Ovis aries: one gene and its partners. The protein of the gene in region 3 interacts with the protein of the main gene of each other region in a biochemical or structural test. Links are inferred from orthologs where the notes say so. Each region holds a gene or a part of one and is shown on either strand. Other genes may lie near its edges. The genes, in order: BMP2, GDF5 and BMPR1B.

Evidence for each region.
Region 1: the proteins of BMPR1B (region 3) and BMP2 form a complex in vitro, tested with the Homo sapiens proteins (3 studies listed by BioGRID and IntAct, with this or other methods). The link is inferred for Ovis aries from reciprocal best matches to the Homo sapiens genes BMPR1B and BMP2.
Region 2: the proteins of BMPR1B (region 3) and GDF5 interact in a biophysical measurement, tested with the Homo sapiens proteins (3 studies listed by BioGRID and IntAct, with this or other methods). The link is inferred for Ovis aries from reciprocal best matches to the Homo sapiens genes BMPR1B and GDF5.

The regions. Positions count from the first base shown.
Region 1 is NC_056066.1:48,887,279-48,890,476, reverse strand, and holds the end of BMP2 (bone morphogenetic protein 2), read right to left. Parts: intron 2,585-3,198; coding exon 1,740-2,584; 3' UTR 616-1,739; downstream 1-615. UniProt on the Homo sapiens protein: Growth factor of the TGF-beta superfamily that plays essential roles in many developmental processes, including cardiogenesis, neurogenesis, and osteogenesis. Induces cartilage and bone formation.
Region 2 is NC_056066.1:64,669,349-64,673,425, forward strand, and holds the start of GDF5 (growth/differentiation factor 5), read right to left. Parts: upstream 2,826-4,077; 5' UTR 2,522-2,825; coding exon 1,897-2,521; intron 1-1,896. UniProt on the Homo sapiens protein: Growth factor involved in bone and cartilage formation. During cartilage development regulates differentiation of chondrogenic tissue through two pathways.
Region 3 is NC_056059.1:30,030,135-30,034,302, forward strand, and holds the end of BMPR1B (bone morphogenetic protein receptor type-1B), read right to left. Parts: intron 3,898-4,168; coding exon 3,767-3,897; intron 2,249-3,766; coding exon 2,123-2,248; 3' UTR 555-2,122; downstream 1-554. UniProt on the Homo sapiens protein: On ligand binding, forms a receptor complex consisting of two type II and two type I transmembrane serine/threonine kinases.

The DNA of each region.
Region 1 (3,198 bases), on a different chromosome or scaffold from region 3:
GGAAATTAGAACAAGACCTTATCAATCACAGTAGGACCAGAGGTGACACAAAGTCCTAGAAATTGACCTTAAAATACTTCAAGTGAAATTATGAGGTGTGGTGGGACCCTTGGCCATATAAGCATACCCATCCAACCCTTCCTGGGGTCTGATTTCAACCCAGAACACAGAACCCCTGTCCTTTGTAAATGTTCATTCTGAGTGGCCTAATTTGACTTCATTTTGCTTGGGCTTCAGTCCAGTTGGCAGATGACCTTGTAGAAGCTGATGTTAGACACTTTCCCTTTCTAATTTTTTGGCATCATTGCCTCAGTTGCATGGGATATCATCTCTGAAACTTTATCTTAGGTTCCCCAGGTTTTGCCTACTTTGTAGCATTGGTTTTCTCTTAAATCATCCTGCTCCAAAGAAGTGCATGTACAATACTAAAACACTGATCAATTCCTAAGAATTAGCCCATGACCTGTTTGCAAATTTCCAACAGCTCCTTGCCTCTTCCTACCTCCCTCCAAAATGAGTAGCCTCAGAAGCAAAAATGAAGCAAATGTAAGGAAACTTTGTGAACACTGTACACATGCACCGTTTCTCTTGCAGGTTGGTCTTTATAGAATGAAATGAAAGAACTTTGATATTTATTGTCTGAAATGGGTTTAACATTTGGAGAAATGTGTTTAAACACATAACCTTAGAAAGAAAAACAAGCTGATGGAACAGAGAACTGGGGTAGGCAGAAAACAATTTTGCTGTGTGGGGGGCAAAGTTAGAAAATTGAGTCCTTCTGAGCATAAAGAGCTCCCAGGTGAGGTAAAAGTGAAATACAAATTGATTTCCAACTCTTCACGAGGGCCACTAGATATCAATTTTAAATATACATGATCACAATATCAATAATGAAGAAATCTTATATTTTATTTAATACTTTGGCCAGTCCAGCTCCTTTGAAGGGGTCATTAGTTTAGGAAAGAACAACAAACCATCATTCACTTTCCTGTAGGTTCATCGTTTTCCTAATTATTTCTATTGGTCTTGCTTTACTCTTTCTGAAAATTAAGGGTTAGGGGAAGGGTTTCTATATTAGATCAGTAATGTCTGGTTCTTATCCAAATATTCCACCTAATAAGGATGTAAATTCTCACGGACTGGACAACCACTCTGCAACATTCCTGAGAACTGAATAATATAATAATCTTGAAAGTCAGCAGAGTGGATTATCCACTTTTTTTTTTTTTTTCCTGGACTTGAACTTGTGACCTTAACAGTAGCACTGCAAAAAAAAGCAAATGTGCTAAGCACTTTGCCAGAGTAACCTTCCATGTAGACTTTTCATCTTAAATACACACAAATGAAAAACAACTACAATTTTTGGAAAATTATGTACAAACCCAATACTTCCTTTGATTACATATAAATACAAATTAGCTATTTTTCCTAAAAAGTGGTTATAATAGTAAATAAATACAAAATAAATCTGACCATTATACTTCATGTGCTGGGGCTGAACCCATATAAAATGTACAACTAAATACATTTTAAAATCTTTAAGGAATAATTCTCTGATTAAAATATTTGTTTTCCCAACTTCTTTTTGTAGATATAAATATATTTTCAAAATAGCTGTGTTTTTTTTCTCTCCATTCCATTCCATAAATAAAGTCTTCATTGGGAAATATTAAAGTGTCAACTTGATTTTTTTGCTGTTTTTCTAATATATATATATATTTATATTTTATTTTGCTGTGCTAACGACACCCACAACCCTCGACAACCATGTCCTGATAGTTCTTTAATACCACCTTCTCATTCTCATCAAGGTACAGCATGGAGATGGCGCTGAGCTCTGTTGGGACACAGCATGCCTTGGGAATCTTAGAGTTAACTGAGTTGACCAAAGTTTGGACAATGGCATGATTCGTGGAGTTCAGGTGATCAGCCAGGGGAAAAGGGCACTCCCCGTGGCAGTAAAAGGCATGATACCCAGGCGGCGCAACGATCCAGTCATTCCACCCCACATCACTGAAGTCCACGTATAAAGGGTGTCTCTTACAGCTGGACTTGAGGCGTTTCCGCTGTTTGTGTTTTGCTTGCCGCTTTTCTCTTCTGTGGAGAGGGTGTCCTTTCCCATCGTGGCCAAAAGTGACAAGCAAGGGCCTTATCTGTGACCAGCTGTGCTCATCTTGGTGCAAAGACCTGCTAATCCGCACATGCCTCTTGGAGGCCCCATGGCTGTCCTCTGGGTGGGCTACCTCCACCACGAAACCATGGTTGGTGAGCCCCTGGGCGGTCCACCTCATCACGGCGGGGGTGACATCGAAGCTCTCCCACCTACTGGCATTCTGAGTCACCAACCTGGTGTCCAAAAGTCTGGTCACAGGGAACTTGGAGTTAGCTGTGGCAGGTTTTATAATTTCATAAATATTAATTCGGTGATGGAAACTGCTATTGTTTTCCAAAGCTTCGGGCATATGTTTCCGAAAGACCTGAAGTTCTGCTGAGGTGATAAACTCCTCAGTGGGGATAGAAGTTAAATTAAAGAAGAATCGCCGGGTTGTTTTCCCACTCATTTCCGGCAGTTCTTCCAAAGATTCTAATTTGATATGAAAAAGTGGAAAAAAAGAAAAAGTGTTCAGTAAGGCAAGTAAGACAGTCTGATTGTATATAAGGATTTATAAACATCACTTCAGGGTTTGATTCAACCCATGTAACGTCTGCAACCAGAAAATTACAATTTCCCCTTTAGATAAAGAAACGATCCTCCCTTTTCCGTACATTTATGTCAATATACACACCAAGAAACAAAATTTCACAATTCATTGTCATTTTTTAAAAAACCTAATATGTGAATACTGCTTCCAGGTGGCTATAATAATGGGGGGAATGGTGAAGCATTTCTTTGGAATTCACAGACTTTAGGGCAAAAAAAAAAAAAAGTCAGCACTGTAGTTAGTAGAGGCCTAATGAGTGAGGATTTGAGGAAATTATTGCATTTCTTAAAAAGAAAAAGGCTTTAATGTCAATCCCTTAAGCGGTATTCTAAAACATTACTCTGCAATTTAGATGATTTACAAATCTCGATATACAGATTTCAGTTTCCTAATTAAAGACTTTGAAACTCAACATCAACGATGACATTTTGCAAAGTACACCCTACTATTTTACTCAAAAGTCAAGAAACAAAGGCATTTACAAGGGATCTGCTTC
Region 2 (4,077 bases), on a different chromosome or scaffold from region 3:
CCAGAGGAGGAACCTGAGGCTCAGAGAAGTTAGGTAACTTGCTCAAGGTCACCCAGCTGGCAAAAAGCACGGTTGGAACTCCAGCCTAGAACTTGTTATGCCTGATCCTGAGCTGCTTCTACTGTACTATGCCTTAAAGAAGATCTTAGTGCTCTTGTTTCACAGATGAAGCACAGAGAGGGAGAGTGACTTGCCTAAGGTCACACAGCAAGTTAATGACCAAACTGGTCTATGATTCAATTTTCCTGGCTAGTCTAATGATTTGTGGTGTATGTTTCTTACTCTGCTTGGTATGTGAGTGTGTGTGTGTGAATGACAGTTTGTGTATATATATGTATGACTGGGTCCACATGTGAGTATGGAAAGTAATGCATATTTGAGTGACAGGTTATATGCATGTATGATTGGGCTTGTGTGACTATGTGAAGGGTATGTATGTATTGGGTTGGCCAAAAAGTTCTTTTGATTTCTTCTATTAAATGGTACAGAAAACCCAAAAAAAACTTTTTGGCCAACCCAATATATGTGTCTGTATATGTGTAAGAAAGTTCTGTGTGTATATGTCAGGCGTGCGTGTGCACATTGTGTATGTGTGTGTGTGAGTGTGATTCACCATGTATGTACAAACATAAGGCTCTGCATGTGTACAAGAAGCTCAGTGGTATGTCCAAATCAACATGCCCTCCTTCCTAAATACCAATTTGCCATTGGGAAGCACTCATAATATTGCTCTAGAAGGTGACTAATTAGGCCTTTAAACTCCCCATCTCTCCCCCTCCAAGCTCCCTTAGAGCTGGGGGGCACAAGGACTTACTTTATGATTCCCCGAGGGGTCACAGCTTTCTCTGGCTGGGCAGGCAGCCAGACCACCTCCCCCACCTCAGCAGACCCGTTGCCTCTGTGCCTCCCCCGCCCTCTGTCACTCCCCCACCGGCCAGCTCTAATGAGGAGCCTCTTCCCCTCTCTGACCCCTCCCCCACCCTGCCAGCCAAAGTCCCAAGATTCCCAGAACCAACACACACGAGCTGCCAGCACCCCTAGCCATCAGGTCAACCTCCTTCTTCACTCTTATGGATAAACTCAGGCCCTGAGAGGGGAAAGGACTTGCTGAAATCACATGGCAAGTTGAGGGGACAAGCCAAGACAGTGATGCTAGGAGGGCAGAAATGTGAAATGAGGGGAGCAGATTGTCTCCTGGGTTCATGATAAAAAGTGATCTGTGTCTAGGACAGGACATAAAGTTTTCATATTGGAAGGGCTCTCAGAAGTCACCCCATCCAACCTCCACAGAGTTGTACTGATGGGGAAACTGAGACCCCGGAGGGAGAAGGGGCTTTCCCAAGGTCACACTGTGAGTTAGAGCCCAGGTCTGTTGTTCACCCCACCCCATATATCTGAAGATAATTCCCTGACTCCAAGATGCCTCATTTCCTCCCTTCACCTGTCTTACCTTCTCTGCCCCCTTGCCTGAAGGGAAAGTGGCAGAACCATGGGCTTCTGAGATTCGTTTCTCTCTCTGCCATCCAAGAAAACCTACAACCCCGTGCAGCCTAGAAGTCTGACCAACTCAGTAAGAACAGAGTGTGGCCTGGTAATTAAGAGTTTAAGAGGCTGGTCCTCAATTCTGCCACCAACCGGCAGGGCTTGTCTCCTTCCCAGGCTTCAGGAACCCCCTCCACATCTTGCAGGAATTGCACTTGGGGATCCCCAGGTGCCATCTGTCTCTGACATGCCAGCAGCCTGGGACCTGGTGTGGGTGAGGTTAATCCCAGATACCGCCCCGGGCCAGAGGCACACACCGTCTCCCCCCAGTGCAGTGTCTGGCCTCTAAAACCCCCTCCATGCATGCAGATGTCCCTCCCTCTGAGCCGTGCCCCGGCCACCCCGCCCCCTCACCTTGCCCTTTGTCAATAAAGCTGGTGATGGTGTTGGCCAGGCCAGCCTCCAACTTCACGCTGCTGTTGCCTCCCTTTCTGTCAGCATCGGACAGCGTCCTGTACAGCGAAAGCATGTACTCGTGGGGCGTGATGGGGGGCGGGCGGAATGGCTCCTTGGGCTCACGCGGGGACCCAGGCTCCCTGGCCTTCTTCAGCAGGAAGGGACTGGGGACAGAGCCTGCCTTTGAGGGTGCCTTCCCCCCAGGAAGCTGTCCTTTTGGGGTCACCGTCCGCGTGGCTCCCTGCCTTGTCTGGGGAGGGTGTCCTGGCTTGGATTCAGGGCCACCCGATCTGGAGGGCAGCTTTTTGGGTTCATCCTTCTTGGGCTGTGTCAGGCCTCCTGTCTGCCCAGTGCCCCCCTTGGCCCTGGCATTGGTGGCCCCCCCACCGTAGCTGTGACCCCCTGGCCTGAAGATGTTCTGGGCCAAAGGGGGTCTCTCCTTGGCTTCTGCTTTGGCCAGTCCTGGCCTGGCCCCCTGGGGTCTCTGGCCCAAGTCAGGGGCACCCAACACAGTGCAGATGAATTCCAGGTCCAGCCAAGCCAGGTGCCAAAGCAAGAGTGTGAGGAGTTTGGGGAGTCTCATCCTCTGGCCAGCCGCTGAATGATGCCCAAGAGAACAGCGGCAGCAGCGAAGGTGCCTCTGGTTTGGCAGGAAAAACCATGAAAGGAGCGGACCCTCAAAAGCAGCGGCAGCAGCAGTAGCAGCAGAAGGAAGGGCTTTCTCCTCAGTCTGAGACTCTTGAAGTCTGCCGGGTGTGTGTTTGTATCCAGTCCCATAGTGGAAATGCTCTCCTATCCAGACGTGCACCGTCTCCAGTCAGCAGCTGAAAATAACTCGTTCTTGAAAGGAGAAAGCCGACCGCCCCCTTTCTCCTGCACAACTGACTGAGGGCCTGAAGGAGGCTTGTATAAGGCTCAGGGATTTTTCCAAGAAGGAAGAATGGCGTAATGCTGCTAACTTTTGAATCCTTTCCAGTGAAAATACACACACTCGCGCGCGCGCGCGCACACACACACACACACACACACACACACACAAGCCTGCAGGTGCTCAGAAAAATCTTTTACAAACCTGAACTCAGGAATTGGAAACGGAATTCCAACCCAAACCAATTTAATTACTCTCTGATGTCATGCTGTCTAAACTCATTTAAGTGCGATATATTTATGTGAAAAAAATCACCGCTGCCCTCTGAGGCCATGGCTCACGGGGGCTCTTGGCACAGAGCCCCGTGGGGGGATTCTAGAATGGAGCGGGGTGGTGGGGGGAGACTTTCAGTCCCATGGAGCAGACTCTGGGGTCTTCACCTCCATGTCACGGCCCACCCCACCTTCCCAAGGAGAGATGCTAGGAATAGATTCAAAGATCTTAAACCCCAGAGGCATGAGAGTGTGGGTTTTCAGTTAAGTCCTTGGGGTGTTTTTAAAGCAACCTTCACATCTAGTCTGGGACCTGTTCTGTTGTTGGTGTCGGGGGTAGGGGGGAGGGCAGCACAGATGGCAGAATTCACCCACAGTTTCTTTTATTTTAATAAACTTGTGGTGACCCAGAGCCAGAAAAATATCGGTACCCACTACACCCCTCCCCCAAATGCCATTGACTGAGCTCAGATGGTTTCTCCAGGCTTTGGGGGGCGCCCCCAAGCCCACTCCTTGGATGGAGACACGTCCAGAGTGTCTATACCTCACCGCCACCCCAGCAAAGACAGGCTCAGTTTTGTTGTGAGGGACTGGCTGAGTCCCAGATGTGGCAGCCCCAGCCTGGGGCAGCAGCGGCCTCTGCAGGAGGCAGAAAAAATGATTCCCACACAGTGCTTTTCTGGTATTAGTAGCTCTGGAAGAAGTCTGAACTCCAGCTGGCTCAAGCGGGGAAACTGTTCCCTTTACCTAGAACATCCGCCTTTTACTCCCACGACAGGAGGAACCTCTTATCCTGAGAGCTTCAGCTGAAAATTCACCTCCACCAGGAAGCCTTCCCAGATCCCCAAACAGAACCAATTACCCCTTTTTGAATATTTCACTGCAACAGACTGTGAGAGAAATAGAAGTGGCAGAAACAGTCATCAGGTAGGCTTCCTTCTTTCTTTAATTTTTATTTTTAGCCCTGCCTTGTGGCATGTGGGATCTCTGTTCCCCTAC
Region 3 (4,168 bases):
TGATTAGAGGCACTGAAGTTTCTCTCCTAGGCTCAGATGATTATCCCACTTAGCTTTAGCCAGATACTCCTCCTAAGCAATCGCAAAGAATATTTGACCTAAGAAAAGGGAACATTTACACTATTATTCAGGTTATGTTAATATCAGTAAAAGCAGCATTCTAATTATATTTGGAACCAACTGTTTTTAATCTTTGAAAAAGCAGAAACTTTTTTTCATATTCAAGGATTAAGCAAATATTTTTACAAAGGAGCTGTGATTATGAAGCACTGGGGAGTGAATGCTGAATACAGAACACTGCTTCTCCCAGACGGTAAGCACAGCTCACAGTCGGTCTCTGCCTTCGGATGCTGTCTGGAGGAACCAGTCACCAGCTGCAAGCTCACTTCAGAAGTCAGGAAAATATTTTCTCATTTTTCGTGCAGCTGTCACATTTCCAAAAACTCTCCATCCTTCAGCCACAAGTAGGGAAATGAAAATGTGTTATAAAACACTGCCCCCTGGAGTATTCTGGAAAGAACAGAATTGCTGTTTGGGTTTTTTTTTTTTTTTTTAAGGGCAAAGAAGAGGGGCTTCCCAATTCTTTGCTACACACTAGAGAATTCTAAGCAGCATAAGAAAGCCACAGTCAGGAAGTAAATGAATAAGGTTGAGAGGGATGTGTACAATTGTACCCTTTATTATGCTCCTGTTGCTAAGGAATACTGGCCCTGTCAATGATTTGACTCCTGCTGCTCAGAAGTGTGTGTGCCTACATAACTGAACAGGTGGAGAGATGTTCTGCGCAAGCGCTGCAGAGAAGAAAACAATAATAAATTAAAAAGTGAGCTGAACGTCATGAAAATAAAAATAAACTGAGTCAGCACTCCTAAGACGTGACACTATCACCTAAGACTTACATCCTCCATCTGTACCTATTGTAGAATCAGTCCCGACAGCCATATCTTGTGGTCTCCACTAGCATTCCTCTGCTGTTCCATTTGGAGGTTACAGTCACCTAATTTAAAATTAAAATTAGTTCAATTAACCTGATACGTTTCCTCTCCTCTAAACTCAGACAGAGAAAAGGCAGATAATAACTAAAAGAAACCCTCTTTGTACACAGTAAGTTGTGCACACTTTTCCCCTCATGCGGCCGAGGAGGTCTCTTCCGCATACCTAAGACACAAGCCACGTGTACCTCCATCCTCACCGCCTACCTTTTTGACACCATCTTCTTACAGCTCAAGAGCAAATTATCTCTATTTTAAAGCACCTTGTCTTCGACCCAGCTGACAGCCACTTTACTTAATATTGATCCTTTCATTTGAGAGATCAAAAGCCTGCAGGGGTTCAACTTCCTACACACACAAAAGCTTTGTTTGTGTTTAATGAAAGAAAAAACCTAACAGAATCAGAAATACAAAGTGGTTCTGAAGAACAGTGTTAACATTTACTTCTAGTAGAGTCTCGTAAAACCTTCATTTGTCCCACATCCTCTGAAGCTGCAGAAGGTCATGGGTGGGAATCCCCAGAGGTGGTCCCACACAGGCGGTGCCGGTCCCCAGATGCGTTCACATTGCTGCGGCTGCCCCAGTGGAGGGCTGGCCAGAGTGGTCTGAGGAGGCAGGGACACGTCGGGGGCTTTTAAGATGGGTTCCATTCGGTTCTCCAGCTTCAACGATTGTCTTTTGGTTGGTAGAGTGCAACAACATTTTACCAATGGAAATACATATTTTAATTTACCTTCCAGCAGAGTTTCTGGGAAGAACTTTAGTTATCATTCTTTAAACTGAAATAGTATATACCTTGAAACATCTACATTTTTGTTTTATTTTGGCAAAATTATCTTTTGAGGAAAAAAAAGGCAATCCCAAAATACCGGGCTTTCTTAGAAAGCAACATGCATCATATCTTGAACAAATTACCCAGGCAGTTTCTCCCGCCTACAGACAGACATGAGGAATCCGTGCTTCTGGAAACTTCTGTTTGTCCAGGCTGCTCCCTGAGATGTAAGAATACACCCTCTGGGGAGCAGGAGGATGTTCGAGGCTGGGACGGTGGATGCTGCTGGAACATCTTTTGCTCTGCCCACAAACAGGAGGATATCTACTGGCTTTGTCCAGAGACACTTACTCTTGCCTCAGAGCTTAATGTCCTGGGACTCTGACATTTTGGCAAGGGTTTTCTTAACCCGTAGGGCTGTCAGTCTTGAGGCAGGATTGTGAGCCCAGCATTCCGTCATGAGTTTCCCCATCTGCCTGAGACACTGCAGGAAGGAAAAGGAGAACCGGACTTACACGAGAGGAACGTATGATCTGCAAGGCTGGCACTCGATACTGGCTTCTAGTTCTGGGTTTCTGAAATTTGAATGTACTTTTAAAAGATAGTCTTAAAAGCATGTAGGCATAAAATTCCATAAAAATTCCTTTCTCATGCAAATCTTAAAGGACTTAAACAAATTTTCATGTCTTCCTTGTGACAGGAGCAAGCAGGTGGCTTTGCTGATCGTAGAAGAGTGTTTTGAAGTCAGATTAAACAAATACAAAAATACCCAGGGAGCCTGTTTTCCGCTGCACACTCCCAGACTATCTCTAACACTCGATGAGCTTAAATCTTTTATCTAATTCCATACTAGTCAAACAAACATGGTTATTCCTCAATCATTGCTGTCTACTACAATAACAGCACCACACTATACCATTTAACAAGATTAATGACCTGTGCACAGCCTCACTACAAGTTTCTCCTGCATTCTCCTGTGGCACGTCAATTATTGGCCTTCCTGTTGAAAAGCACTATTTTGCTTCATTAGAAATCCTCAGTGAAGGGACTCTGAGCAATATCAATGCCCATAACCACCTTCAAAATAATATAGACTCCAGCATCTTATAAGGCTTTCTGCACAGCTCACTGGGAAACGTGTATTATTTAGCATTTCAGTAACTGGCCACAAAACCAAGAACCAAAAGTTATTTTTAAATGCAATTAACACTCAAGAATTAGTTTATAAACAGTGTTCTGTCCATTTGTCTGCACTGGCTTGGAATTTTTTTTTTTTTTTTTTGAGGGATGCTTCAAACTCCTCTCTGAATGTGGCACTCCGAGTGCCGCCAAACACTCCAGGTCCAAGGGGTCCAGAGTTTCACAGGGCGGATGGAAAAGGGGTGAGCAAGGTGCAGAGCGGGCAGGAGAGGCAAGGCTGGCCGGCTCACTTCCGGCTTCCGGTCAGCTCCTCTCAGACCTGTGGAGGTTTCACCAGGACGCACTCAGAGCCCGACTGAGTGTGGGTTTGTTCCCACAGCATCACGTCATGTATTAAGGAAGATCCACGCACAGTCAGGCATCTCACCTAGGTGACCTTGTACCACTTCTGTGTACAAAAAAGCCAATTCTTCAGATGCCTACCTCTTCTCTCATTAAATGAGAGAATGCTGTATTTGAGTCTGTCATGGAGAAAATTCATGATGTTTTACACACCCACATTCGGAGAAATAACAGCTTCTATGCAAGTGTCGGGAATCACCAATAAATGAAATAATGTTAGCAGTTATGTCGGCTAAACACTGACCCATTCAATGTATTTTGGAAGCGGCAAAATCAAATAGGAGAAAGGAACAGATAATGTAATATACTGCACTTATCTCCATATAGACTGCTGCCATGACATATCGTTACCGTCCCAACAGAGAAGACAAATTCCTGCAATAAATATTTGGAATTTCGGCAAAAGGAGAAAAGCCTGTTTCGACACTGGTCACGGCCACGCGGTGACCTCCAACCTCACCTCGTCACTGCTCCACCGGTTGGGGAAGGAGGGCCGCAGCTTCTTGATACACACGATCTCTCTCATGTCCTCGTAAGAGGGGTCACTGGGCACCAGGTCATGATAGGGGAGCTGATATTCTTCCACTATACCTGAAAATATATTAAGAAGATTATTTTCTGTGAAGAGGAAATAAAAGTCTAACAAACAAACTGTTCTCAGAGGAAACTTCTGTCGGCACCAAAGACAAGTTTAGGTTGAAAAACAGCAAAAAAAAAAAAAAGCCACAAACACAAAAACCCACCAACCTTGAAAAAAATGGGCCCAAATGACACAATTTTCAAAAAATGAATAAAAAGCACACGGAAACATTATTATACACTTTCAAGCCTTTTTTCCTAACTTCTAGAAGCTAAGTAAACA